Linked DNA regions of Schizosaccharomyces pombe. The protein of the gene in region 1 interacts with the protein of each later gene in a biochemical or structural test. Each region holds a gene or a part of one and is shown on either strand. Other genes may lie near its edges. The genes, in order: mex67 and mlo3.

What was found.
Region 2: the proteins of mex67 (region 1) and mlo3 form a complex in vitro, tested with the Schizosaccharomyces pombe proteins (one study listed by BioGRID).

Annotation. Positions count from the first base shown.
Region 1 is NC_003423.3:2,399,542-2,411,918, reverse strand, and holds mex67 (nucleoporin Mex67), read left to right. Parts: upstream 1-1,797; 5' UTR 1,798-1,824; coding exon 1,825-3,615; 3' UTR 3,616-3,767; downstream 3,768-12,377. Other genes in the region: SPOM_SPBC1921.04C (uncharacterized protein), read left to right, coding at 515-868; DNA repair protein, SUMO-related Rad60, read right to left, coding at 3,817-4,934, 4,985-5,087; rpl35A02 (60S ribosomal protein eL33), read left to right, coding at 5,958-6,166, 6,298-6,415; toc1 (Tor complex Tor2-interacting protein 1), read right to left, coding at 7,004-8,173, 8,216-8,338; pgs1 (CDP-diacylglycerol--glycerol-3-phosphate 3-phosphatidyltransferase), read right to left, coding at 8,525-8,781, 8,878-9,644, 9,682-10,166; eIF2 alpha kinase Gcn2, read right to left, coding at 10,465-12,377. UniProt on the Schizosaccharomyces pombe protein: Involved in the export of mRNA from the nucleus to the cytoplasm.
Region 2 is NC_003423.3:1,737,019-1,753,357, forward strand, and holds mlo3 (RNA-binding protein Mlo3), read right to left. Parts: upstream 7,731-16,339; 5' UTR 7,695-7,730; coding exon 7,095-7,694; 3' UTR 6,950-7,094; downstream 1-6,949. Other genes in the region: ebs1 (EST1 family protein), read left to right, coding at 1-11; mrpl7 (mitochondrial 54S ribosomal protein uL5m), read left to right, coding at 1,960-2,823; MAP kinase kinase kinase Byr2, read right to left, coding at 3,299-5,278; cyclin Clg1, read right to left, coding at 9,023-10,408. UniProt on the Schizosaccharomyces pombe protein: Has a role in the mRNA export process. Interferes with mitotic chromosome segregation when overexpressed.

The DNA.
Region 1 (12,377 bases):
GTGCCGTATACCTCCTTTTATAAGATAAGATCCTCGGATATTGCAGAGAAACACCAACGACTCCTACGATTATAGGATCCTTCCGCACCATTTTAGTGCCCCAGTGTGGGAACTTAATAGATACAACAGAGATAACGATAAGGTGAACAAATATGAAATGCATCTAAACGTTAAACGACATACAGCATGTGCATTGTTAATACCCGTGGAGAAGACAGAGCAAAGAACACTAGGATTTTTTCTTTTATCCACGGCACAATCAACTATGATATTTCACATTACAGCCATAATAGTGACAAAATAGAAATGAACGTAGCTTGTTAAACCCATTGAGTATCCTGTCCGACAAACAAGCTGTCCCTATAACACTAAAAAATGGAAGAAATTTCGATAATTCAAAATTAAGTAAACAGCAGGTTTTTAAAACCCACGAATACAACCAAAATTTACACAAGACAGACAAATACAACCAACACATAACATGAATAATATTAAAATGAATTAAAAAACATTAATGAGTCATACAAAAAATTTAAAACTTATACTACAAAGCAAAAAGCTATCTGAACTACCGACCCACAGAAAAAGTATCAATATGACTATTCCTGTAAGGGCACTAAGATGTCCAATATGGCTCTGGCCCACGTATGACGCTCAAACCATTCCATGGAAAAAGAAAAAGAAAAGTGAGCAACACGAATTGTGGGCGTCGGTATATAACCGCACGATAGGGAAACTTCAACTTAACAAACTCACGTTTATAGACCTTTGTGACTGTTTTTTAAACCCTACCCTTTTAAGTAATTTGTTTGCTGCATTTTCAGGTTATTATCCTATTGAGGTTACGATAATGTCAAGGAAAGTATAAAACAAGTGCTGTTCAAAATAAATAAATGAAAATAAAATAACACTTTTTTAATCGATTTCTGTAGAAATTTAGTCCTTTCATTTTTTAAGTTGACCCTTCATTGTTATACAACAATTAATTATTCTATACGTATATATTATATATATTGTCTACATCAATAACTGAGCAGAATTGAGCATTATACTGGATAGAAAATAAAAAAAATAAGCAGGCATTTTTTCACAAGTAAGTACATATTTTTATGATATGAATTGATAAAGGTGCAGGCGATCATATTGTTAGTTAATAATAAAAAATTGTAAATAGTAATTTTGCTTCTCCATTAAAATGAATACATAAATTTAGTAGATAATCGATTTAAACAAAAAATAGATATCCAAGCCAAAAAAAAAATAAAAAAAACCAAAAAATGTTTATTTTTTTTGGCTCATGAAACCCAGATTTATCAAAAACTTACGTTGCTTAGTGCTCAATCTCTTTAAACATGCAATAAAACAAGAATTAGCGGGACACATATATTGATATATTGCTTAAGGAATTAGTGTTCGGAAGTCTTACTGACTAAACTGTTCTTTACTTCAAAATTTACTCCTGAATTTTCATGTTAATGGAGGTCGAATTTTAGGTGGTCGATTGAGTTATATCAATAGTGATTTTACAAAAAAACAGTAAACGATTTTATATTAGCCTCATATAAATTTTTTTGAATTTCAATAAAATAAACTAAAACAAAAAATGTATTTCCACAAATTCCATCGATACAAGCATAGCAAAAGACGAATAACGCATTTAACAGTTTCTCGTTATATCACAAATAGTCTAACTGTTTAACGCAGTTTTGCGCGTACACATCTCTACTCCTTATACTTGTCCTATTACTATTGAAGTTAAAAATGTTGAATTAAATTCCACTTACTCTCTTTCTCTTCACACTTACTACTCAACATAATTGCAAAATGTTGCGTAGAAAGCGGGAGCGTCGTAATGCTGTTAAAGAGAATGAAATGGTAATTGATACACCATTGGAGAAACGCCGTACACCAGGCAAACCTCGTGCCACGCGTGAACCCCCGATATCCGTAGTTATTACTGGTCATTCCAAGGGTTCTGAGGACGACTTAATAAGCTTTGTTTGGAGAAAAGTCAAGGTTCGTCTAATGAACATTTCATATTCTCCGGCTTCGGTCACTGCCGTAGTTAAAAGCCAAGACTTTAGTCGTTTGAACGGGTTAAATGGTGCGGCTTTTGCTGGTGATCATTTGGCTATACGAAGGGTCGATGGAGCTTCTAACGTTACTCAAGATTATAGAAAAGCAAAGACAAAACGATCATTTCGTTCTGTTTCAGCTCCTTCATTATCTGCATTAGCAACACAAGCCCAGAGAAATGTTTCAAAAACGTTACCACAATCCACAAATGAGACCATTGAAAAGTTACGCCAGTTTTTGCAAACCCGTTATCAACCTGCTACTAAATTCTTGGACCTCGGAAATTTGCAACAAGATCCTCTTTTAAAGCAAATGGGGATTTTAGCAGAGGCTTCTACTAAGAGTAAGATGTTTCCAGCGTTAATGAAGGTTGCTTCTTTAAACTTTCCAGACGTTATATCAGTTAGTTTGTCGGATAACAACTTACAATCGGTGACTGCCGTAACCACTTTAGCACAAACATGGCCTAAACTTTTAAACCTTAGTCTTGCTAATAACCGGATTACTTCTTTATCTGACTTGGATCCATGGTCCCCCAAAACAAAGCTTCCCGAACTCCAAGAGCTTGTTCTTGTCGGAAACCCGATTGTCACAACCTTTGCTAATCGTGCTATGGATTATCAACGGGAAATGGTTTCGCGTTTTCCGAAGCTTCGTCTTTTAGATGGTAACAGCATAAATTCAGAGATTATCGCCTCTCAATCTACCGTCCCTTTTCCGGTTTATCAATCTTTCTTTGATAAGGTTGAAACCGAACAAATAGTCAATTCTTTTTTGGCTGCGTTCTTTAAAGGTTGGGATGAGAATAGAAGTGCACTTGTCAATCAATTATACAGTCCAAATGCTACCTTCTCAATCTCTCTGAACGCTTCAAACGTTAGAACGAACTTTTCTCAGAAAACAGACACTAAAAAATGGGGAGCTTACAAAATGAAAAGCAGAAATCTACTTTACTCACAATCACAGAAGGAGTCGAAATCTCGTTTATTTAACGGGCACGAAGAAATAAGCAACGCTGTAAAATCCTTACCTGCTACGGCTCACGATTTATCAGACCGTTCGCAATGGGTTTTTGATGGTTGGAACCTGGTTCTGCCTTCGGTTGGTGCAGCCATCAAAATTGTTGTCCATGGGCAATTTGAGGAACCACAAAACAAACGACTTCTACGAAGTTTTGATCGAACTTTGCTGATTTTGCCGGGAGGTTCCACAGGCATATTGATTATAAATGATTTATTAGTCATTCGTTCATTTGCTGGATCGCTCGGGTGGCTACCTGGTCAAAGCAGTGTACGAACAAGCAATAATGCCATGTCTGCGTCTGCTTCAAAGCCTAGTGATATTGTACAGCCAAGACCGGAACAAGCAATGTTAGACACTAGACAACAAATTGTATTAAAAATTAAGGCGGAGACAGGTTTAAATGATTACTATGCTCACATGTGTTGTGAGCAAAATAATTGGGATTACAACAGCGCTCTAGCATCTTTTTTGGAATTAAAGTCGCGAAATGTTATACCAGCCGAAGCATTTTCATGAACTTCTAGTGACGTGTATAGATAGATATGGTTAAAAAATTACAAACTGGGGAAATGGAAACTTTTATTTAATAATGGTACATATTGATGAAATGAATAAGTTAGATTTATACATAGTCGTTCGTGATCATTCTATAAAAGTATTATGGCGGTAATTAAATATAAGAAAGAACAATGGTAAAAGTAAGAGCCAAATATCCTTTTAATCCAAAACAACACTAACTTGATCTTCATCTTCAAGTTCCGTGCTTTGCACTTGATCGTTGGGATCTAACCATTCACCTTCAAATTCTAATCTAATGCGTTCATGAAAACTAATCTTTACTTCAGTACAATATCTCTTAATCAAATCTTTAACAGTGAAATCGACGGGTATTGAGAGACGAAGATCCTCACTCTTACTCGAACGCAAAAGCAACGTTATAAGTTTACACGTTTGAGCAGTTGAATCTTCAGTTACCGAGGATAACTTTTCCACTTCCAATTCTTTTATTCTTTTGAGTGATATAAAATCCGAGTGACAGTAGGCATGCACAACCAAACGGGTATCGACTTTAAGCATACCAGCGCCCTTTGGGGTTCCATAATCCCATAATCTTTGATTTTGAAATACAAGAACAACGTTATCTACTTTTTTTCTTTCAGAGTACGCTATTCTGACACGACGAAACTGTTGGTTCGACTTAACTTTGAAAAATAACGGTGCCTCCCAGTCCCGGGGAAGAGAGATATTGCTGTTTGGAATTCTCTGTCCAATTACGGCTAACTGGAGAACGACGGAAATAACTGGTTCATTTGTTGAGAATTCCGATTTGGAGTGATACAGCGTTGAGTGGTCACTTTTTGAATGCTTTAAAAGGGGCACATCAGCCGAAGTATTGTCATCGTCTTCTTCAATTTCTCTCTTATGCGTGTGAATTTGTACATCCATATCACTTGATGATTTTTCAAACTCCTGAACTTGCCGATCAATTTCCTCTAACCTACGAGCAAAGTCATCGTCCAGCAGTGATGAAGTCGTAGAAAGCGCAGCCTCACTATTAATGCTGTTGTTTCGCAAGTTAGCGGCCGCCCTAGTATTATAAACTGGTGAAACCGGTTGTGTTACACAGGAGATAGCACTTTTGGGTGAGTGCCTACCTTCATTCAAACACGCATTAGGAGTAGTGTCTGAAACGTCTTGGTTGCCTTCATCAGCATCTAAAATAGTGGATTGACGAGATAAAGGTTCGGCACTTTTGTTTTCATTATGAGTTATATTTTTCTGTGCATTTATGTGTTCTAATGCTTGTTTATTGGTATCAAGTTCACTTTCCTCTTCTAGAATGTTGTAAGCAAGCTGACACTTTGCAATCGGAATTAAAACTTACCAGAATCTGAGGAAGAGGCTATTAATTGCTTGGCATAGTTTAATGGAGGCTTTTTAATAGGCTTTGAGAAGAATGCTAAGTCATCTTCATCTAGGTTGTCCATTTGGCGAGTTTTAGCAATTACGGTGGTTCCACAAAGCTTCTTATGGATTTAACGAGAATTTGTAGCGACACACCTTAAACTAGGTAATTTTTAGCTTAGTTTTGTTTTCACTCAAGTTTATTACAAATCGATTTTGAAAGTTATATAATAATTTTATAATTCAATTGAAAAAGTTCAATGAACATTCCTCCAACTCATCTTCGAAATGAAGTTTGTTTACTTACGCAAAACCCGATCTTGTCCACTTAGCAAACAGATTTAAGTCTATAGAATTTCATTTTTTAGGTTAAGTAATTTGAAAACTCTTTGCTTCTTGTACTGAGACATTAGGTTTGATGAATTTCAATGACATTGGCTCACCTTACGACGGCTACATTGCGTCCGTCCATTACTGCCATTCATAATTTGTTCTTCATTCGCTAAATAAATTTTATTTAGTTCAGATAAAACCAAATTGTTGTACTATTAGAGATACAATGAATAGGTTTAATCAGCCGATATTCCTATATTCAGTAGTAGACTATTCAGGTACAAGATATAATACTAAACAATAATATGTAAACAAAATCGAATATTATCAAGTTAGTCCCCGTTACTTTATATTGATCATTAGAAAAACTTTACACTATACTGTATTGGTAAGTGAGAGATAATTTTAAAAAATTGAAGAGTATCTTTTTAAGATTATATAATGAATTAAGCTATATGATCGCAATCAATAAGATTATGAAGTACGTTACACTATGCTAGATTTATGAAAGTGTTTACTACCAACACAAGCTTAGGTTTTGCAAGCACAAGAAGGGCAGTCACAGCTTAAGCAAACGGTAAGGATCACCACACTAAGAGTTCCGCCTTTACCAAGTCAAAATGCCTGCTCAGGGACACAGATTGTACGTTAAAGCTAAACATCTCTCTTTTCAAAGAAGCAAACATGTTATCCACCCAGGAACTTCTTTGGTAAAGATTGAGGGATGTGATTCTAAGGAAGAAGCCCAATTTTACCTAGGCAAGCGTATTTGCTTCGTCTACAAAAGCAACAAGCCCGTTCGTGGATCCAAGATTCGTGTCATTTGGGGGTAAGTTTATTTTTGTAATTAAATTCTTGCGTTTCTTTGGAGAATATGAAGAAACGTTAATGCTATATTTTCACGGTCGTTTTTTGTTGGCTAAACGAATACATTCAAAACCTTTACTAATTACGTTTTAGAACTGTTAGTCGTCCTCATGGAAATTCTGGTGTTGTTCGTGCTCGTTTCACCCATAATCTTCCTCCCAAGACCTTTGGTGCCTCTCTCCGTGTCATGCTTTATCCCTCCAATGTTTAAATAAAATATTTTTATGTTCACAACAATTCTTCTGCTTCTTAGATTTATTTTATTTAGGGAATCCCATTTTATCGAAAGCCTCGTTTGTTATACAAAGTAATCAATGCTTTTGGTATTATTTACTCACTAGGAATTTGTAATTGGTACATTAAAACACAATTATTAATTTAAGTTTAATCAATATTGATGTTAAATAACAAAAGCTGTAAATTTGTATAGGTAACTTTTGAGAATCGTTTCACGAAGTATCATTTCAGTCGTCTGTTCTTAGGGTGTTGATGGGCAACACTGCATCAATTACTTAGGTATTGTAAATTCACTAGTTTGGCGTCTAACCTTTAGTACTGAATACTACCTTGTTTATGCAGGTAGTTCGATCGAATACTGTCGAGCATGTTTATAATCGGCTGTCGATCATACAAATCAAAAGCAAATCAATTATTAACCCCAACTATAATTATTTAAAAATAGTATAAAATAATAGCAAAATTATTATCAACGAAACAAAATCATCAAGCATTCTTTGTGAGAAAAAAAGGAGCGCAAGAAATAGTCCTAAATTGTAAAGATAAAACACATAGACGCTATTCAATTTAAACTCTTCCAACCTTGAGCCAAAAACGACTGTTTATAAGGTCTAAAAGCTTTTGAATTGTCAAGATCATCACTTAATACATAGCCCATACTTCGGGCTTGGATACTTCGACTATGTTCGTCTGCCTTTTTCAACATTTGGATCCATCTATTTTTCCGATCGACAAACGAAGAGGGTGAGGCTTCAAAGGAGGATTCTGAGCTAAGACTTGACGAAGGAGAATGATTTGTGAATATAGGAGAAGAATCAATATTTAATGGTAAACTTCCTGAGTGAATTTCCATAGCATCCACTTTGCTAGTAAAATCTTCATTTTCCTCGTCGCTCGGAATCGTGGTTGACATTTCAAGTGAATCGCCCGATTTGTTATTATTTATGTTGTTTGTGTCAAAATCGAATTCAAGTTCTTCATCAGATCTGAAAGTTAAAGTAGATAGATTTTCTATATCGTTTAACGAATCCGAAGACGCTTCATAGTCTGGGTTGTCAAGTTTGAACTGTTTGGAATACTGCATTGGCTGGTTAAAATACTTGCCGGGCTTGTCCGAAAAGGCAACTTGATATTCATCAGTAAAAGCAACATGCTTTTTTGGCTTCGATTTTCGACGTTGAGTAGACCGACTTTCGTCGATCATGGCATGGTCAGCATCAATGGCATCACTCGACTCCTTTGGTGATGCGATATTGCTATCATATATGGTTTTCACTTCCTTCTCTAGTGATTTCTCAATTGTCGAAGCATCTTCTAACAATTTAGTTTCGTAGGCTTCATAGTTGAGTTGCTGATTACGCATAAACGCAAGTAGTGATAAACGATTTGTTGATCTCTTTGACAACAAAAGTTCTTCGACTGTACGCTTAATTTCCTTGTTTACTAGTGAAGAAAATGAAGCCCGTATTTCATCTTCCCGAGGTTCAGCTCGCGCTTTAATTATGTCCATTCGAATGCCCAATTCTGAAATAGGAAAAGATGCTCTTACAGAAGAAAGAGAAATAGCTGAATCGTATATGTAAACTTTCACGTTTTCTTCTTGAAATAATTTCTGCGGTTCCTCGGATATTTCAATATTTCCCTGCACAGCAAGAATACATAAGTTGCAGCCTCGACAAGCAACAGCTGAACAATTTTCAGCTTTGCATATTTGCAATAAACTATAAATTTTCTATTGAATTAGTTATATTTGATTTCATTAAGGTTAGCGTACAATTTTTATGAGATCACGAGGAACAAATATCCATTGATGTTTGGTTTCATTAGGAATTCCTAAAACACGTATATTGAGACATTCACAACTTATTCCATCGCCAAATGGCGATTGCAATTGCATTAAATCTACTATGAAGATTTCGTCAACGCTCGAATCGCGTTGCTCAGTGAGATCGGCGTTGGCAAGAATTAGGTACGCCGTTGTCGATGTAATATAATTGATACAGTATTGTGCTATACTACATGCTTAATAACGCCGAAAAATCTAATTCTTGATAATTTATTTATAAATTTTATTAAATTCATATTATAATTTTTTCTTCATGAGAGAAGTCAAAGCCTTCACATACATAGGAACCTTTTCTAACTGACAGGTATTCATAGGCTTTGTGTGCTGTTTAATAAGTTCAATTTCAGTAGAAAATTTTCTCTTTAATTTTTCATTCTGTGTCATTACAACTAAGGTGGATTCAAGGTCCAACTGTTGAGACCTACTCGTATAATTGGAAGACCCAATCGTCGTTAAAAAAGGATGCTTGTGATGTTGTGTACTCAACCAAAATCCTAAAATAGTGTTAGTGAATTTTTCAAAGATATATGACTTAAGTGCCGTGCTCCAAAAAATATTTATAATGGAAAACGACAGACTGTAGTGTTTACCTTTAGCATGATATGTATTCCCCTTATTTTGCCATTGTAAGACATCAATATTTCTTTTCTTCTTTCTTGAATCTTTAAGAAATTGTTCAGCAATATACTGATACGCTGGTGGAATTAATTTCGATGGTCCAGGAGATCGATAAAATCCATTAGCCTGTTGAGAAGCCACGATTACTTCCCCTATACCTTCAGATTTCAACAACTGTTTTCTAAGTGCTGGATAAACATTAAAATAGCCAGCCGTTAAGGTCCAATTAACCTCCTTGCGCGATAGCAAGGTCCCGATTATAGACAAGACCTTTTCTTCAGTAGAATGTACGTCAGAAGTAAGGATAGGTACACATTGAAAAAGTGGGTATACGATAGCAGATTCTTCATATTTATGAAATGGCTTATTGTTGTCATCACCTGCTTGATTAATTAATTCAGAGCCATATACTGATGATAACGGTTTAGAAGGGTTGCGAGACAAGAATTTCTCTCGATTCCCCTGAAGAAGTTGTTGAATTTTAGCAGAAGCTGCTACCCGAAACTCTTGAGGATTTGTTAAAGGATTTGGACATGAATTGTTCCATTTCAAAGTAAAAGGAATAACCGGGGACGTAGAAGATAGTTGAATTGAGGAATCGGATAAATGAGGGATACACTCAAAAGAAAGCTGTGAAAACAAAAAATGCGTTTTAAAGAAAAAGTCCGCTAAACCCTTATCACTAAACAAATAATACCGGTCTTTTCGATTTGTAAAGTAATCTCTCGAAAGATTGGCTCTATTCGTTAGTATAGTAAATAATCATTTGCCTTTACCCGCTGATAATGAGGTTATCATCTGCACCATATATTTTCATATGCTGCAATCCCCATCCCTCATTAAATCTGTGTGGAACCAATTGCTTTCTTAGTCCACGCAAATTCGGTGTATGGTAAAGCTTGATTTCGCATCTATCAGGAAACTTCTTTTTCAATTGCATTAATAGAGATGCAGAGCAACAACCAGGGCTTTCCCTAGTACACCGCAATTGATCTGCCAGAATGTGAACATGCAAAGAGGGATTGTTGCTTAGCGCATTTGATAGACAATTGATCAATTCTCGCTCTTCTTTTCCAATGTATAGCGTTGATAGAAATATTCTTTTTTGAGCTTTTTTGATTAATTTTTTCAAGCGTTGATAAAACTCAGGAGGTTCATGAATGATATCAATATCATCAACGTTAACATAGAATTTGGGACACACACCGTCAATCTGAGATTCCAAGTTGACAAATATGTTTTTCTCTATTCCTTCATCCATTAGGCTGTTTAAATTGGTGTGCTAGGTTAGTGTGAGATACATTGAGCTTGCAAACCCGTTCATGCAGTAGAAAGGTCAATATCCAACGGTAATTTGAACGTGAAATATAGAGAAAAATGGTATAAAAGCAGAACTTCCATGTTATATTAAAAATAAAAAGTATCAAATTGACTCTAACTTACTTAACAAAAAATAATATACCGATCACGAAATATACACATTTAAAGTAATTTATAGCAAAATTTTTTCTATTTAATTAAAAGAGTAATGAAAATTAAATGATTAATTAGTTCAAAATTTATTTAAGTCCATAAAGATAAATTTCGTTTGTCCTGAATGAGCATATCCAAACCCGCTTCTTATCTTGTTCTGCAAGGGTGACAAGTTTCTTTTGCAGTCTCTGCATATATTCCCTTTGAGAAGCTGGGCAACTTTCTATTAAACGTTTCCAAGACTCCTCATCAAGCGTAGTGGTACTACGAAGTTTTTCCATAGCTTCTGAGTCGCAATCCACTGCTAAAGCAATAGCATCTTCTGAGCTTTCACGAATGGCTGACTGCACTAGATCATAAACTTTATTCATAGCATTTTGTTTGTGTTTCCATTTATACTTTCTATCATTAACGTCTTTAAGCGAGATCAACTGTACGTCGAGGTTGGATTGAGAGGTGTCAACGAACTTTGCAACATCTTGTTGAGCTGAGTCTAATATACGTTTCGACTGTAACATGCTTTCGTTTCTTTTTCTTTCATTAATTTCTCCCAGCAACCACATCCCAACTTCATCAAAGCGTATTTCGTCATCTTCATTTTTTAAAATATTTCGAGCCTTGACTGAATGTTCCATCTGGGTATTTTTCTGACGCACGACGAGAACCCAATTAATGCCTTCACTTCGATAGTGTGTTACAATCTCTTCTAAACTGCTAGCACCCCTTAAAACTATATCCGCTTGGATATTTAAAGCCCAAAGCTCTTGCAAAAGTGAGCATTTTTCTAGGATTGAATCCTTGCCAATACTAGTAACTAAGACATCAACTCTCCTTGGTGCCCAAGGGCCTACAGACTTTAAAGTTGGTGAAGGAGAATGCTTGCTTGACTGCTTACTATTGTGAAATCGAATATATCGCAGCATTGAAAATACTAGTTTTTCAAGGGCAAAACATATTCCAACAACATGCTTTTTTCTGGCAGTTCTCATTAGAGGAGGATCGAAAAAGCGTACAAGCTTGTCATAACGACCACCAGCACAAATGAGTTCAGATTTTTCCGCCAAGTTAATTGCTTGAAACATCAAACCTCCATCGTAAAACTCAAAGTTATAAACACATAAAGGCATGAAGTATAACTGATGAGAAATTTTTAGTGCTCGAAGTAATTTAACCACTCGCTCCATATAATTTAAAGCAGTTCTCATTTTCTGTGGCATTTCCTTCCCAAAAATTTTTCTAAGTTTGCTAGCACCTTCTTCATAATTTTCCCGAAAATCAAACAAACTCAGATCGTCTAAGGTGGTAGAGGGAACTAATGACTCAATACGAAGCTGGTTCCGTACCTGTGATAATGTTAAGCGTTGGTTGATTTGTCCAAGTATATGAGTAGCCATGCGTCTTTTATCCTTTGATACTTGTAAATAATCAAGAATGGAGGAAAGAATGTCAGCGTGATTAATTAAGATACAACTTTCTGTCAAGGATGGTATCTCTGTTAATACTTCGTCTAATGCTTTGATTGTTTCTGCATCATACCAATCCAAATTATCAGAATTCGTGGTAATGTCAAATGAAATTTCCTTTATAGCCTTTGGTCTCCCTCCACCTTTGGCTTCCCGAAAAACGTCAGAAATTAAGTACGTCTTTTCTTCTTCCACAGCGTTTCTAGCAACATTTCTCGCGTAAGGAAGAACCGTATCATATGGAAGCTGTAAAAGGGTACCATTTTTATCTAGTAGGGAAACAGAAGCTTGGTCTTTATCGTATTGAGAAGACTTTGGGAATAGAATATGTGACTCACGTTCCTTGGCTCCATGGCGACGAAATACTTTAACTACATGATCACGTACTAAACAAGCTAACAAACTATCCCATCCTCTATCCGACACTTTCGACAACACTCCACTTTCTTCACTAAGGTTGAAGTCGTAAGTAAAGTCTTTATGACGATCGGGCACTTGGCCGAATAAAACTTTCAGAAGCTTTAAATAATAAGGAG
Region 2 (16,339 bases), 660 kb from region 1:
GCAATAATTAAACTGTATTGTTGATTGTAATGTTTCATTAAAAATTCTGAAGTTTGTTAGAAGCAGTCAATTAACTTTGCTGCCAACAACGAACAAATTTCTTGCTTTATTTCTCACGAAGTGAAATAACCCAAAATAATGTATCACGGATTTCTTTGTTTATACACTGTGCTTACGAATTAGAAATGGTTCTTCACTTGCCTAAAGAAAGGCTTTGACTTTTATATAAGTATGAATAGTCATCAAATGGCCTAAAGTGTACGGGTATTCACGACACTTAAATTAAAATATGGTCGATGGGAAAATAAAACGTTGTTTAGTTATCATAGCGCTGTTCTGGTTTGACCTAAACACAAGCAATTAAGGCGCTTCCCAATGTTACAATATATATCATAGAATGGGTTAATTGTTTACATAGGACTGCGTTGAATTCTTTAAATAGAATCTTTAGCCTCGAATTATGAAGTTATCTGACTTGTTGGATATCCTCAGCTTGCCAATTGATTGATAATAAGCATATGAGCTTGGACAGTGAATATTCAATATTTGGTTACTCAGTGCAATTTGTTTTGTGATTCTAAGCAGAAATGCTCTTTATAAACATTTACTGCACTATCTTGAGTTTCTAGAGCTTGTTCTGTATCCAAATTGTAATGACTGGCGATTCTCAAGTGCCAGATCTTATACCTCTTTTTATGTCTTTACCAGACGTTATCGTAATGCCTGGACACAAAACTAAAGTGTAAATTTGTCTTTCCTATGAAATGCTTGGTTTTTCATTAAAGTGTTACGAATTCGAAACATATATCTATGATTTTTGAGTATACACTGGCGGTATCTGTTGTTTAAGATAATTTAGTTTTGAGTTATTCGAGGCAATCAATTTCTTATCAAGTGTGATTCTCTTTTTAGAAAACCAAACTAAAAGTAAATCTATTGATCTTTTCAAGTATTAAGACAACTTGTTTTCTTTTGGATAAAATGCTTTTATTGTTGCATAATAGATTGATAAAGGTACGAAATGTATAAATGCATTATTTTATGTTGAGTACTTTACTCTTTCAGGATTGTGTTTGAGCTAAGCTTCTTGCATCTCTCATTCATCATCACACATCTATATTGAAAGGAAAGAAGGTAAAAAACGAACAAGAACAAAGTGAATACAAAAGAACGAATTGGATTAGTATTGTTATTGCATGAAAGTGATCTTATGACATGCATCACTATCCTATCCAAATAGTTTGTAGAGCCAGTTAGTAATAATACTTTCCAATAATTTGAATATGTGTGGCATGCCATTTGGCACGATTTTGAGAAATACAAAAATAAAATCATCTTGTAAAAGAAGAGCAATTAGCTGCTTTTTTATGTACCAGCTGAAGGAAAAACATTTGTTTTTCGACGTATAAAAAAAAACAGAAAGACATCAGCTTAAAGCTTTAAAGCTAACTTGTTTAAATAAGTTTGTAAGTTACAAGTACAATACTTTCTATTACACTTGGCACTCAAAATCGTGTGGCATATGATTATAACGATGCCTCGGATTTCCTTACTTGGCACTAGGTAATACGGTACACTAACCATGACAATACACTAGACAAACGCGAGCAATCTTCCAGCCCTAGTACCTAAGATCCATTGCAAAATTGTTTTGGTTGCGAGACTTACCTGTTTTATCCATAACCATTTGTTAAAACCTTCCTTTGAAGATTTGAGAAACAGGTATCATTTGTGGACATTGGTCTTTACAATTTCCTTGTTTCGTGATTATAAATATTTTTTCCCGGATTTGTGTTATTTACTATAATTTATTGGTAAATTATAACACAAGTGCTCATCTGCTTATAAAGCAAAAGGATTTTCACGAAAATTCCCTAGAAAGTAACCTGTTGTATTTTTGTCGCTTTTGGTTTCTCTTTGTCATTATACTTGTTTTAATTCATTTTTTAATTTTTAACAATGCTTGGGATAAGAAAAAATATCAGAATATCAGTTAACTTTCTGCAGCGAAGAACCATCACTGTAAAGCAAAAACTGGGCAAGAATAGGCCCCTACCAGGATGGGATCCAAATTCTGAGTATTTTCGTCCAGGACCCACCATGTTAAATCGCTTACAAGAACACTTGCATGATACCATTTTACCGGATGTATTAGCTGCTTCATATCGACATGACATAGATACAGCGTTAAGCACAGATGAACATACACAGAAAGACAGACTTCCAAGGTGGATTGGTGATAACCCTTATTATAAAAACCGGCCTCCTCAGAAAATGCGTGGTAATAAGCCTCTGTTACCAGTAAAGGAGTCCGTTAATCCTAAAAACCTTCCTTCTATTAGCAAAGTTGTCGTCAGCACTATGCATAAAGAAGCACTCGTTGACAAAACGCAGCTCTTGAGTACAATGATGGCATTTCGTTCTATAACGGGTTTGCAGCCCGAAATAGTCTATGCACGTAAGGACGTTTCTCCCTGGAAACTTCGTTCAGGTGTGCCAGTAGGTGTAAAGGTTACTCTAACTGGAGAATCTATGTATACATTTCTTTCAATCTTATCTGAGTTGGTTCTTCCTCAGCTTCATGATTTCAAGGGCCTGAGTCCTACAAGCGGAGATCAAACAGGAAACATATCTTTTGGTTTACCAAGTGAAGTCATGCCTTTATTTCCCCAAATTGAAGCTGTTTATGAGATGTATCCGCACTCTTTACCTGGATTTAACGTAAATATAACAACCAATTCCAAAGATACCCGTTTGGCTCGTTTTTTCGTCAGCAGTCTTATTCCATTTACAGATGGAAATAAGGAAGGCTATGTTGGATAGTAGACAATTTATTTTATATCTACTATACCTAATCTTTTCTCCTCAAGGAGTGAACAAAAAATCCCCTTCTCTACGACTAATGCATACATACGTTTTTGAGTTTTACTTGTTTAAGTGATAGAATTCCCGTAGATATGTGTTATTATATATTTATGTTATCGTTTTCACAAAGTAAATAAAAATAAAAAGTTTTTTCTTGAAAAGGAATAATCAATGGATATTTTTTAAACAAACTGAACATGTAAAATAGTATTTTTTTAGTAACTAAACTCATAATGGTATTTATCAAGGACATTCACAAAATCATTAAAAACATGAATATTGTAGAAAAATATAGCAACTTAAATCATACGGTTTATAGGTTAAATAAATTCATTAGTTCTAAATGGCATAAATGCAATGATAATGATGCAAAAAAACATAAAAAAGATAGATCGTAAAATAATGTTTCTGTTTTCATCATAACTTAGCCGGCTTATGAAACGAACGGGTGGCTCAACAACTCTGATGCTGTAGGTCTAAGATTACAATCTATGGCAAACGTTTTCTCAAGGAAATCTATGGCCGATGAAGAAATGTTAGAAGGGAATTCCGGCAGAATGTTCTCCCCAATTCTGAAAATGGCCTGCATTTGATCACAATTCGGATAAGGGTGCTTACTAGTGAGCATCTCGATTACCAAACATCCCAAAGACCAAATATCTGTTTTCTCCGTATGCATAGTTTGCTTCACCACTTCGGGAGCCATCCAAAAAGAAGAGCCTTGAAAAGAAGGGCGAGCACCACCCGTCTTCGTAGAGGTACTATTTAGTTCAAGTTTCTTCGATATCCCAAAGTCCGAAATTTTAATCTTCCCTTTATTATCAACCAAGATGTTCGCACCTTTTATATCACGGTGTACAATGCCGCGTGAATGAAGGTATTCTAAGCCTTTAAGGGTTTGCTTAATAAAGTTCTTGACTAGCGTTTCCTCAAAGCTTCCATACATTGTAAGCAATCCGGCAACCGACCCCCCAGGAACATATTCCAAAAAAATGTTCAAGTGGTCCGAATTTAAGTTAGAACCGAGATATTGGACAATATGCTCATGAGACAACTCCTGTAGAAGAGCAATTTCACCCGCTAATGCATCTAAAAGTTTGGCATGGCGGTCTTTTGATTCAGAAACAGAATCTAAGATCACTTGCTTAACAGCCATCAACTCACCACTAGATGCATTCATACCGAGATAAACTTGTCCAAACGATCCTGAACCTATTAACGCACCACGTATCCATTTGATAGACTGATCATCAGTGTCCTCTTCAAGTGTATTTGTGTCCTCACTTGTAGTGGAAGTTGGAGAAATTGGGGATGGTTGCTCAATAAATGATGGGGATGAACCAGGTGAAAAGGAAAGTACTTGATGGTTGCCATGCGCGCTTTCTGAAAAAACATTATACTTCGACGATTTTTCATTTCCGTTGGACTGGTATAAAGGTTCCACACCAACCATGGTTATGGATTTTTGAAGCGATGGTGGTCTAGAAATACGCTGAGTAGAAGATACAGTAAGTGGAGGATCAAATCCCCTATCAATCCTAGGAAGTCGGTTAACATCTTCAGCAACAGAAATCCTCAGAGAGGAAAGAGGACAAACCAATTCGGAAGGGCGAGCCCGCCGAGAGCTTCTTGGCAAAATTTCTTGACCAAAATTACCAAGATTGTGCCCTTGAGACGTACGTATGCTAAGGTTTCTACGAAGAGAGTTTGATATTGTTTTTTCCAGTAGCTTTGGTTGATGATCGGGGAAAAAATCGGAAATTCTAGAATTAATAAGCTCGCTAGGAGGTCGCTGGTAGGATTCAAATGGTTTCGCATTATTTGAGCGGACACTTCGTTTCTGAGTGCTCGTGGGAAGAACAGAGGAAAGTTTAGGAGAAAGGGAGGACTGTGATGATAATGCTGCCGGTTGAGCCAATTCAATCTCCCAAGAACGGCGGAGGTCTTCAAACGATGGACAAGGCTTTTCTTTTGGCACAATAATTAACCTGTCGCGTTCCGGTGAAGATGAATTAAAACAAATTTGTTTAAATTCTTCTTCAGTAATCAGCTTAATTCGACTACTCTGTGAAACGCATACAATGAATTTTGAAGCATCTTCAAGGCTAAACTTTTTCAAAGCAATAGCGAGTGTTTTCTGGTAATCTCCTCGTGATTGAACTGCTCGAGTTTGCCCGTTACAGGCAATAAACCTCAGTATACATGGACGTGGAAACTCTCGTAAATAGTCTCTTTGTTTTAAAAATTGTTTGCCTTTGGCGGTGTTTTCAATGCCTAGGTCTTTCAGTAAAGGCAAGGTTAAATGATTTAGGTGTCGTCCTTCAATGTTATTTTGTGAAAATTGTTCGATATACTTCTCCAATCCGATACTTTTCAACCATTCTGCTACCTCCTTCGAGGTATAATATTCCATAAATGCAGGAAAGTGGTTGTACAACGTATAACTTCTAAGTTCAAAGTTGGTAGCATTTACGTTTAACCTGCCTCCCTTAGTCTCGTGCTCTTTGACGTAACAATATAACTATACACTTTATAACCGATATTAGTTTCACTAAATCTCATTACCAAAATGAAGCTGCCAAAAAATTCGTAAAGGCTGCTTGTTTATATAGGTATTGCAATTCTCACCCGGCACAGATTCAGATATCTATTAAATAACACTTACGTACATATACGAGTTCCACAAGGAGTCTAAATATCGACGAGAAATTGTAATCAGATATTAAAATCTAAAACTTTCGTATAAACCATGTGTAGCAAGTGAATAATAATCTTTCTCTTTATCTGCAATACAAATGTCGTTAACCACCGTTCAGATACTACTGGTTTAAGGTACGAACGTAAAGTACTGTTTTAACAATTTCAATGTTTCAATCGGTTTCAGAGGACGGCAAGAATCGCGCACTAAAATTAGCAACCCGCAAATGCGCATTCTGAAAGCGATTTTTGGTTTGTAACACAATCACGACGGATCGTACAGATCTTTCAAAAAAATCAAAATTATAAGTGCCAAAAATATATGTGTGGGACTTCAATTTAAATTGTTTGATGTGACAATGGTTCGAACATAAAACCAAGCAATGTTTACCAAAACAAATTTCGAGATACGGTCGGCAATTCAACCATAACAATAATTTACAAATAATAATAAACGTCGGAAGCAAAAAAAACGGGAATGGAAGTGACTAGGGTTTAAAAGTTTCAAAAGAATGCATTGCGCGTAATTCATCAATCAGCGAGTTTAAAATGCAATCGTGGAAAAGTTCTATAAATGTGGTTTACATACAAAGGAAGGAATGAAGCCAGTTCTGTCATGTACAATTTGACAAAGATGAAATAGAGCCATCGAACGCGATGATTTTACGAATAGAAATTCCTCATCCAAACAAGCCGTGCCACATATAGTAAAACAAGACTTGGAATAAGTGTGACGTGAACCAAAAACCATCATGAACATAATAAACACAGTCAAGTTGGGGTATGGAAGCTTTGACTTTCAGCAAACATGCAATAATAAACCCTGTCGGTAAGCTCAACCCAGTATAGTTTAGCAACATGATGATCAAAACAGCTGCCTTGTACAGTAACTTAGATTAAATAAAGTAACAGTAGCCGAAGCTACCATTATCCACCTCTTTTAACCACTGTCTACATAGGTTTTGCTTTTGTATTAAACAAGAAGGGAGCGCTTATCAACCATAAAGGATTTCTGCACAAGAGCTGATAAAGTTGCAAACATAACAGGTGAACAGATATGCTAATAATGAACTCGACTCAAAGCTTAGCTTCTTGGTAGCGTTTAAGCTTGCATACTACAAATCAACAGATATGTCAAAAGTTAGCAAAAGTCAAAACCTCCAACCCAACGTTAACCACCGAAAAAGAAATAAGTAACCAAATTCGTTCGATGTCAATGAAACATATATGTCTATCAAAAAAGAGATATAAATAAAAAATTTAATGAAATTCTTTGAAATAATGGCATAATGGCAATATGACCCAATACACACCATATATACTAACAAGAACTGGTTCAGCTCACTTCTCCAAATCCATTACGAAAGACCCAAAACACAAAAACAACTTCAAGAACTGCCATTCGAAACAGCATTATATTGCCAATATTATTTAACTGAGGGAGTATGTTGTATAGGTCGTTATTAATACCAAGAAGCATTTGACATCTTCAAAATATATGTATATATAGTAGAATCTTCAAATTATTAAAGTTACTCCTTCTCATTTGATCCAAAATAATCATCCATCTCCTTGTCGAGCTCTTCGGCGGATTTTTTAGGACGATTAGGAGTTCTACGGCGGCGTGTAGTCTTCCGCTTGGAAGATTTGGCGCCATTCTTGCTAGCAGTGGCGCTAGCGTTGCTGGCAGGACTTACACGTGCAGCCAAAGAATTCAATTGACGACTAGGATCAAGGATTATCTCAACCTTCATTTTTCTAGTGCCATCAACCAAACGACCCTCATACTGTTCATAAGCTCGAGTGGCATCACCAGGACGAGAAAAAATGATAGTTGCAATACCTTTCGAACGACCGTTGGGACCGTAAGCCAAGGAAACGCGTTTGCAAGGTCCTATGGATTTCACAAAAAGCTCCTTAACTTGAGCCTCGGTAACGTCAGTAGGTAAGTTAGAAACAATAATTTTAGATTCCTCAGAAATGACGGATTTAAGGGCAGAGGCAGTGTTCACTGCGGGTTTCGCGTTCTTTGTTGGCTTTGGCTTGTTAGAGCGCGCACGACGCTTTCTAATACCTCCTTTAGGCTTTGAAGCAATTATGGCGTCCAAGGACTGATCTAATTCCATAGACATTTTTATCGAGTTACTGTTGGGTAGTTAGTTGTTGTTAGGTGGTAAAGTGGCGGGTGGGGTTTACAACTGATCAGGATCTAGGTAAGGGTAGTACACAAGGTGTCGATATTTAAAATTATTATTTTGTAGATTCCTAAATATATTTAGCGATGTTGAACGCTTACTTTAAAGTCTTCAGAAATTTGACAAAAAAATAATATTACAAATTAAACTTACTTTACACTTTATTGGCATCAGAACTAGGATGGACGCGTTCACTTATAAAAGTTGAGAGATTATTGATAAAACAGAATTTATTGTTTTTTTGGAAAGCAATTTTTGTAACCATAATACCAAACGTTTGATATGATGCCTACACGATTAGATAGATGCAAACGCTTCGCCGCTTCTTGGTAGCTTAACAATGCAGAATCTAGACAGAAGAATAACGATTATGCAATTTTTAGAAACACGGAAAACATTCAAAGACAACATAATTCAGAATTAAAAAGCACGATTCAGTGCAACAGAATCAAGTATAAGAGATTATATAAATCCGTTATCTCACTAGTAGACATACGACGAATGCGCAATAAAACTAGGTAATCATAACAAACAGTTTGGGAGTTGGAAAATCGCAATAAAAAATTTTATGCTTAATCCTTAGAAAACAGCAAGCAAAGGTTTCTCATTTAAGTATCAAAAGGAGAAAAAATAAACAAAATAAGGACAAAAACGATGCCCGAAGTAAAATCTTTGCTAATGAAACAGAAAAATAAACTCAAAGCATCCATGGGCCTTTTCATCTATTCACAATGTATTTCTTGATGAAGCTAGTTGTATAAGTAGACTACTAATTTTTGAAGGCGAACTTTAAAAAGGAAATCCGCGATCCCTATAGTAGTAGCGGATGTATATACATCAAGCAGTATTAACAAATCAGAATTGCATCAAAAGATATTCCAATAGATAACAAAGCCACACGAGAAAGCAAAATAAAAGTCCAACGACAAAAATAAAACAGATACTGATAAGAAGTTGGTTCCTTTTTTTCGGTATACTACTTTTCAATTTTTTTTGGGAAATTTTTTTTTTCTCTGTTAAAATTTGAAAAAATAAGAAAGTAGAAAAGCAAGATCAAACGGCAAATTAATTTCAAGAGAGCCGAATTCATCACGGAGATGATTAGAGAATACAATATGACGGGTTAAACAAAAGTTCCCGTCATACAATATGAAAAGAGAAAAAAGTTACAAGAATAACAAAAACACGTAAAGTGTTTATAAGCGCAAGGAAACGAAAAACAAACCCCGTCAAGCAACAACACCCGCAGAAAGTAAGCACGATCACTAAGTCATTGCATAGCGATTGTACACTGGATAATATCCCACGGGTGTATAGGGATAATAGTAGTTGCAATTAGAGCAAGAACGTCCAGAAGAGGGCGATGGTGGTGCGTTGGTGCTCAACGTAGTAGGGCTATAAGTTTTTTGTTCACCAGAGTATGTAGCGTTTGAGGAAGTAAACAAAGAATAAGAAGCACTCCACCACTCCCATGCCTTTTGACCACGAGGACCGGGACTAAGATTCCAGGACATGCTAGCTAGCCAGTCTTGTTCAAAGCTGTTCAACAAGGCAGTACGGAAACCAGTAACTTGCGACCAGGATTGATTGGTAAACGTATTGTCATCCAAAAACTTATTAGCCAAAATCAAGGCGGTCGTTAAAAGAGCACATATTTGGAAGAATAACGACTCCTTAGTCCACTGGTTTACAAAATCAGTCGTTTGAGATGCGGCGTCAAGACGATCGGAAAGGTATGACAAGGCAAGCAAGCAAGAGGCACGAGGTAAACGCGTAGACGTCAAAATTTGTGTAACGACCTTACGGAAAGAAAACACAAGACCAGGTAAAGAGTTAGCAAGAGAATGCATTTGAGCATTATTCAGGAAACGAGCATACAACTTACAAGTCATGATAGACAAGTATTCCACCATTTGATCCATCTTGTAATCCAGTTTAGCAGCAACACCTCCGGTATAAACGGTTTCTTCCTGATCCTCCATGTTAGTTTTGCAGACAGGAGAAATACGTTGTTGAACGTTAGCAACCGAAGGCATGTTAAGATTACCTGGGATTGTATTATCAGTCTCGGAGGTAGTAGTGGCGGTATTGTTGGTTACAGGCACATCTGCTACGGGATGTCGAGACTGATAAAAGGAAGGAGCACAATTGTTAGCAATCAAAGGGGCGGAAACGTTGTTACATGCAGCTGATACATTCACCGAATTGCCAAATTGATCTTGGTTAGGATTATAGGCAACGGCAGAGTCAGGCATATAGCGTTGCTGGGAGGGTGGTGGAGGTGCGGCAGATGGAACCGACTGATAAGATGGCCAGTAATAGTTTAGAGGCGCAGAAGGGTAGAGACGTGGTTGAGGTTGCTGTAAACGGTGCTGCGACAGAAGGGAAGGAACAGCGGAAGGATGATGAGAGGAGGAAGGGATGGAGAAGCCCGACCTTACCGAAAGCGTATCGGGCACAGAAACGCCAGGTAAGAAGGACGGACGACGCTGGCCAAGACCATACATAGGAGCATGACTCAACAAAGCAGCAACCGAAGAAGCAGAGTTTGCACTATTGCTGGACGAAACAGGAGCAAACATACTCAAGCCGGGGGCAGCCAAAGGAGGCTGAACTTGAGAACGTGAAGTGTGCTGATAAGGAAACGACATTGCTGAAGAATTTCGAAAAGGAAAGCAAATTGAAGAATTAAAAAAAAAATTTTTAACTCCTTTGCTATTCTACCTAATCAAGTCTTTTTCGAGTTTTGTAATCGATTTCTTGAGTACTCCTTTCAAGGAAAGAAGAATACAAAGGAAGAACGATAAAAAAAAATGAAAAAGAGATAAAGAATGCTCAACAATAAGAAATTTACCCAAGAGACAGGAAAAAGACTTATTAACACTCACTTCTAGCAAAACCCGACCAAGGAATGCTTGTTTCGCTGGCAAATAGACGAGGCTTAGTAAAAAGCTCGACTTCTGCAAAAAAACTGCTAATATAGAAGGAAAAAAATAGGATTGAACCCTCCAAACTAAATTTTACGGTGGTTGGTTGTGCGCAGGTTCTGAAAAGCTGGTAACGCAGTTGAAAATGCTTGCAACTTAGGAAAGAGAATTTTTTAGGAATAAAAAATTTCACTTTGTTAAGCACTGAAAAATAGCGTAGCGTTGAAGATTATTCAGCAAGAAAGTTAAACCCAAATTAAGATATCTAACGTAATAGATCGGTTAGATAACTTTATGGATTTTAATTAGCAATTGCCGGTGAGGAAAATTGGGAGCGAGGTAAACAAACAATGGGACAAGCAGGAAAAAAATCAAAGAAAAATAAGTTAAACGTAGCAAGACAAACAATAAGTATGTAAAGAGGAGAATTTGAAAGTTATCTAAATAAAGAAACAACTTGAGAAGTAAAAATCGAGTAGAAAGTGAAATGAAATGGAAGGAGCAATTAAAGAGGAGAGAATAAACAAGAACTGAGTATGATAGACGAAAAGTAGACGGAAAAAAGAAATTAAAGAGACAAGAGAAAATCAACTGGTGGATGTCTTTGTCGTATAAGAAAAGATGTATAAATAGAAATCAAAGATTAAAAAGGGAGGTAATGTTTACTTCAGCAAGTTGAGAAAAAAAAATTCAACAATTAGCTTTTCGAGACAATTTGGAGTGAAACGAAAAAAAAAGTAAAAAATAACAGTAAACAACAAAAACTGAAAAAAAAGGGGAGATGAAGAGCGAGTAAAGAAATCGGGTTTGTAATTATAAAAGGATAAGTAGGGATGAGCGATTAGATGAATGAAAAAACAGAGAGAGAGAGAGAGAGAGAAAAAGAAAAAAAAAAGGATTAAAAAGTAAAAGAAAAAGAAAAACAGACTACAAAATGTAAGCTGAAAAAAAAAAAAAAAAAAAAAAAAAAGTTGTTCAAGTCTCAAGACAGTATACAGTACGCAAACTTTTTTGAATAAGGGCTAACCAAAGCACTGAGTGAAGAGTGTATTGGCAGTTGGGGGGGAAGCCGTAGAAAGAAAGCAAGGCAGATGCTTTATATATATATATATATATATAACTATATGTACTTGAGTAAATAAATAAAAAGATGCGCGCATAAATACAATTGTAGCAGCGAAAGAAGAAAACGTAAACAAACAAACCAATGAAAAATTAGGAAACCAATGACAGCATGAATACTCAGGAAAATGAGAGAGAGAAAACGAAATTAAAAGAGGAGAGTGAAGGCACAGTAAAAGGAAAGGGAAACAAAATAACAAAGCAAAGCCAAAACAAAAACAAACGATGCTAGAAAAGAAGAAGGCGCGAAATCAAGGGCGCGCAAAAGAACAATTAAGAGTGTAGAGAAGAAAACGCGTGAAATTAAAAAATAAAAGGAAGAGAGGAAATGGGGAGGAAGGAAGGAGAAAACGCAAGCAAAGTTTGTTGATGTATATAGGCAAAAAGCCGTCGGAGCCAGAATGAGCATTAACGGAGCACATGAGAGGGAGACAAACCTTGTTGAGTGGAGAGTGGAAGGAGGGAAATGGAGGAAATCGTTAAATGGGATAATGAAAGAGAGAGAGAGAGAATAAGAAAAAAGAGCGAGGAAGAGTGGAGTGGTTGAGGGGAATAGTGGGGTGAAAGGAGGAGGAAGGAAGAAGGAAGGGAATGCAGGGAGTGATCGTTAAAGATTTGGAAGAGAGTGGTTGAATGAAACGGTGAATACGATAGTGAAATAGAAGGAGTCGATATGAGACTACGTGGATTGTCTTGTCTTACTAGTTCTAGGTAAACATCTGTAGCAAAAGATTGGTTCCTGCTGTTTGAAAATCATTTCATTTATTGGAGAATACGGTGGAGAAAGGAAGATCGCTAATAAGAAAAGGGAGAGGAAATTATCATAGGTTATGTTTGTTTTATTTTACATTGATCTATTGAAAGAAGGAGGTGCAGAGCGATTCTTGAAAAGGTCGTTTACGGTACTATGTTAGAAATTGTTAATGAATCTATTGGAAAAAGAAAATCACCCCAAGCGCTAACAAGTTGAAAGGAGCAGGCAAGAGAGAGTGCAAGGCAATAGACGGATGCAGAGTTGTGGCAAAGGAGGTGCGGAAGGAGCAGTGCGGTGAGGTAGAGAGGTCGAGAAAGCGACACTGTTGTAATAGGAAGAAAAAGGAGTGTTAGGGATGGCAATGGCCGAAGAAGCAAAAAAATAAACAAACAAGAAAAAGAAAAAGAAAAAAGACAAAAAGACAAAAAGAGTAGGCAATACACATGAAGAACAAATGATAAAATAAAAACTAGACTACGAAATAAAAAATAAATACTGAACTGTGAAATAAAAACTAAATTATGAAATGAAAAAATAATAAAATAATAAAATCAAAAAAAAAAAAGAATAATCATAATAAATGATAAATTAAATTTTTTCTTTTTTTTTTTCTTTTTCTCTTTTTTTTTATTTTTCTCATTTTCTGTCTCCTTTTTTAATTTCTTCAACCTGTCACATCATGAATATTGCTGCTGCCTTCTTTGCAGTCGAATGAAGAAATTAAAAAAATTTCTTTCCCACTAATGATGCTCCAATTGGGGTGGTAAAGGTTTGAGGGATGAAAGAAAAAAACAATTTTTTTTTTGCTGCCGATGTAGCGACGGAGGAATCTGTCACAGCAACAGCAACGATAGTAGTATTCCATCGTATTTTATCCCATACCATCATCATATCTCGTCCATTGTAGCTAGTAATAACACAATGATCCTATATGATTTGAATCAATACTGAGTGTGCTAGATATACACTTATACTTTTTGCTTCACTCTTAAATTCTCACTTCTCTTAAATGTTCACTTCTCTTAAATTCTCACTTCACTCTTATACTCTCACTACTGTAGTTTTTACTACTACAGTATTGATTACTACTACCAAATAAGGGGTATTTTCTTCCTACTGTAGCATAGTCTATTCTACTCTACGCTTCACTGCACTGCACTGCAATGTATTACACAAGCAAAATCATTTAACAGTCCATTTCTCTGTATACGCTACAATGCCTTATGAATGTTTAACATTTGACCAAGAGACTGTGTTTCACAGCACTTGGGGTTCCCCCACTTGACGCCTTGGGCTAAACACTGGGGGGGAGAGAAGGAGGGGGTTTGCATAGGGAAGAGGAAAAGACGGTTATGTTATTGCTTGATTAAGGAATTTCTTGTTTTATGGTTTCCTTAGTAAATGCCGCCATTCGGTGACCTCCACCTTTGGTGTCGAGGTTGAGTTTTCTAGATAAATAAACAAGGATGCTACGCTCGTCATCGCCGCTCATATCGACCCTTTTCAACAAGTTCTGGCTTGGACGAGTTTGTCCAGTTTAGGGACTCTCCGCAGCTTAATAAATTTGACTCCCGGAGGAATCAGAAGATGACGTTGACAAGAAAAAGCGGACACATTAGGGCTAAAAAAGCCAAATCGCCAAAAGTCTCGAATGGGGATGCGTTGCGATGCGATAAATGAGAATTACGAGTCGCAGTACAAGCACGGTCGAGAGAGAGAGAGAGAAAAAATGCAGTAGGAGGAAATAGAGAGACGAGATAAAGCGACAATATAAAATTCAAATAAAAAGACTTCGAAAATGGATTCAAGATTGTAAAATATGCACAATCATCAAAATAATTACCCAATTCATCTTTACAAGAATATTCAATTCATCTTTACATTATCACTATAATCATAACCACAACTTTAACCATCAAAACAATACACACCAACAAGAAAAATTCACTAAATTCTACCACCTATACATATTTAAAAAACAAACAAACAAACAAATACCAACACCAACACTTATATTTCATATGCTGTTCACCTCTGGTATTCCTCTTGTCTATACCTCTTCTCTTCTTCTCTTCTCCTCTTCTTCTCTTCTCCTCTTCTCCTCTTCTCTCGTCTAACTTTGCTTCACCTTGTTTTCTTACCTCTCCCCTTCCTCCTTCCTCCTCCCTCTCCTTCGCTATCTTCTCCTTACCCCACACCTCCCCACCCTCTCTATCCTTCCTTTAACCCCCCATCACCATTGCCCTCGTTAAGTTACTTTTTAGACTTCTCTCGTTAACCTTCATCCTTTCGAGCGCTCCGCCTTTCCACCTCGCCCATCTCCTTCCCCTCCTACCAGCAAGCGCCACCATATTTCTCTATCGACTGCGTTATTCTGAATTACAAAGTGGATCCCTTCCTCGTGCTCCTTTTACCCCTCCCTTTTCTCCAATTTTACCATATCGCAACTGCACTCGAATACGTAACAGCATATATATATACGAAACGTACCGCCCGGAGATCACTCCCCTCCTCGAGTATTTAGCTAACCCACACCCCGCGTTTTTCATTTTTAACCGCACACCACACCACCATACTCAAAGTAAATCAAGCTCCACCGGTAGTATCCCCATACTACCAGTGTGTGACAAAGTGAAAATTTTTTAATTTCAAGGCTTCAAGACTTGTTTGCTTGCTTTCTTCCATTTGACTTGGGTTTTCATAGCATTTCCTTCAGTTCTCTGCGTTGCCTGCTACTTTGGGATTTCCTTAGAGTCGTAAATTTTTTTTTTTCTTTCCCAATTTTTTCAATTTTCTCTTTTCATTCTTCCTTTTATTATTATTTTATTTTTAGTTTTATTCTATTTTATATTTTTCTCCCTTTCCTTTCTTTTCCTTCATTCTTCTTTTTTGTTTGTGGGTCTGTTTTTATTCTATTTTTTCCTCTTCTACTTCTTCTGTATTTTCCTTACATCCAACTTTGGAAAATCTCATCCATCCGTCTTACATTGCCTCGACTTTGTATCGACTGTTTTTTTCTCACCTCATCTGCTTTGCTTTGCTTTGCATTTTCGGATCTCAATCCGGTTCCTGTTGTATTCGGTCCGTTAATTTTTAAATTTGTCGCCTTCTCGCTACATCATTCCTCTCTTCGTTCGATCGAGGGATCCGTCTTTTTTCTTTCGTCAACAAATTGACTTGTCTATTCTTCCTCCTCTTTCTCCTTTTCTTTTTTGTCCATCCATTAGTCCTTCTGTGTGTTCGTCTTCCATTGCCACTCACATAATCGTCTTGTTGGATCCTTTTTCTTGACTCCCATTCAATCGCCTTTTTTTTATCTCTTCGTATAACTTGTTGAAAGTTTGGCTGCTTTTTTCTTTTTCAAGCTTTCTTCCTCTTCGTCCTATACTTTACTCCGCCTTTAGAAGCTTTCTTCCCATCCGCCATATCTATATCTATTTTATCTATTATTATATATAGGTGATCTTGTTATATTGTTTTCCTTTTCATTGGTTCCTTCATTGGCATTTTCTATCAATCTCTCTTCTTCGTTTACATTGCCTTCCTCCTCGTAAACATTTTCCTTTTTTGGCTCTCATCTGTCCAACAAAGGATCCTGCTTATTCCTCTTTTTTACTTCAATTCTTTTTATTATTATTTACAAAGTTATTTTTTTCCCAAGTTGTTTTCGTAATCTTTGGAACTTTCGTTTGGGCTCCTTTGAAGCATTCAACTATATAACTTTGAATTTTATTTTTTCCAATCCTCTCTCATCGTTGAAATTTCTTCTCGTTATTAAC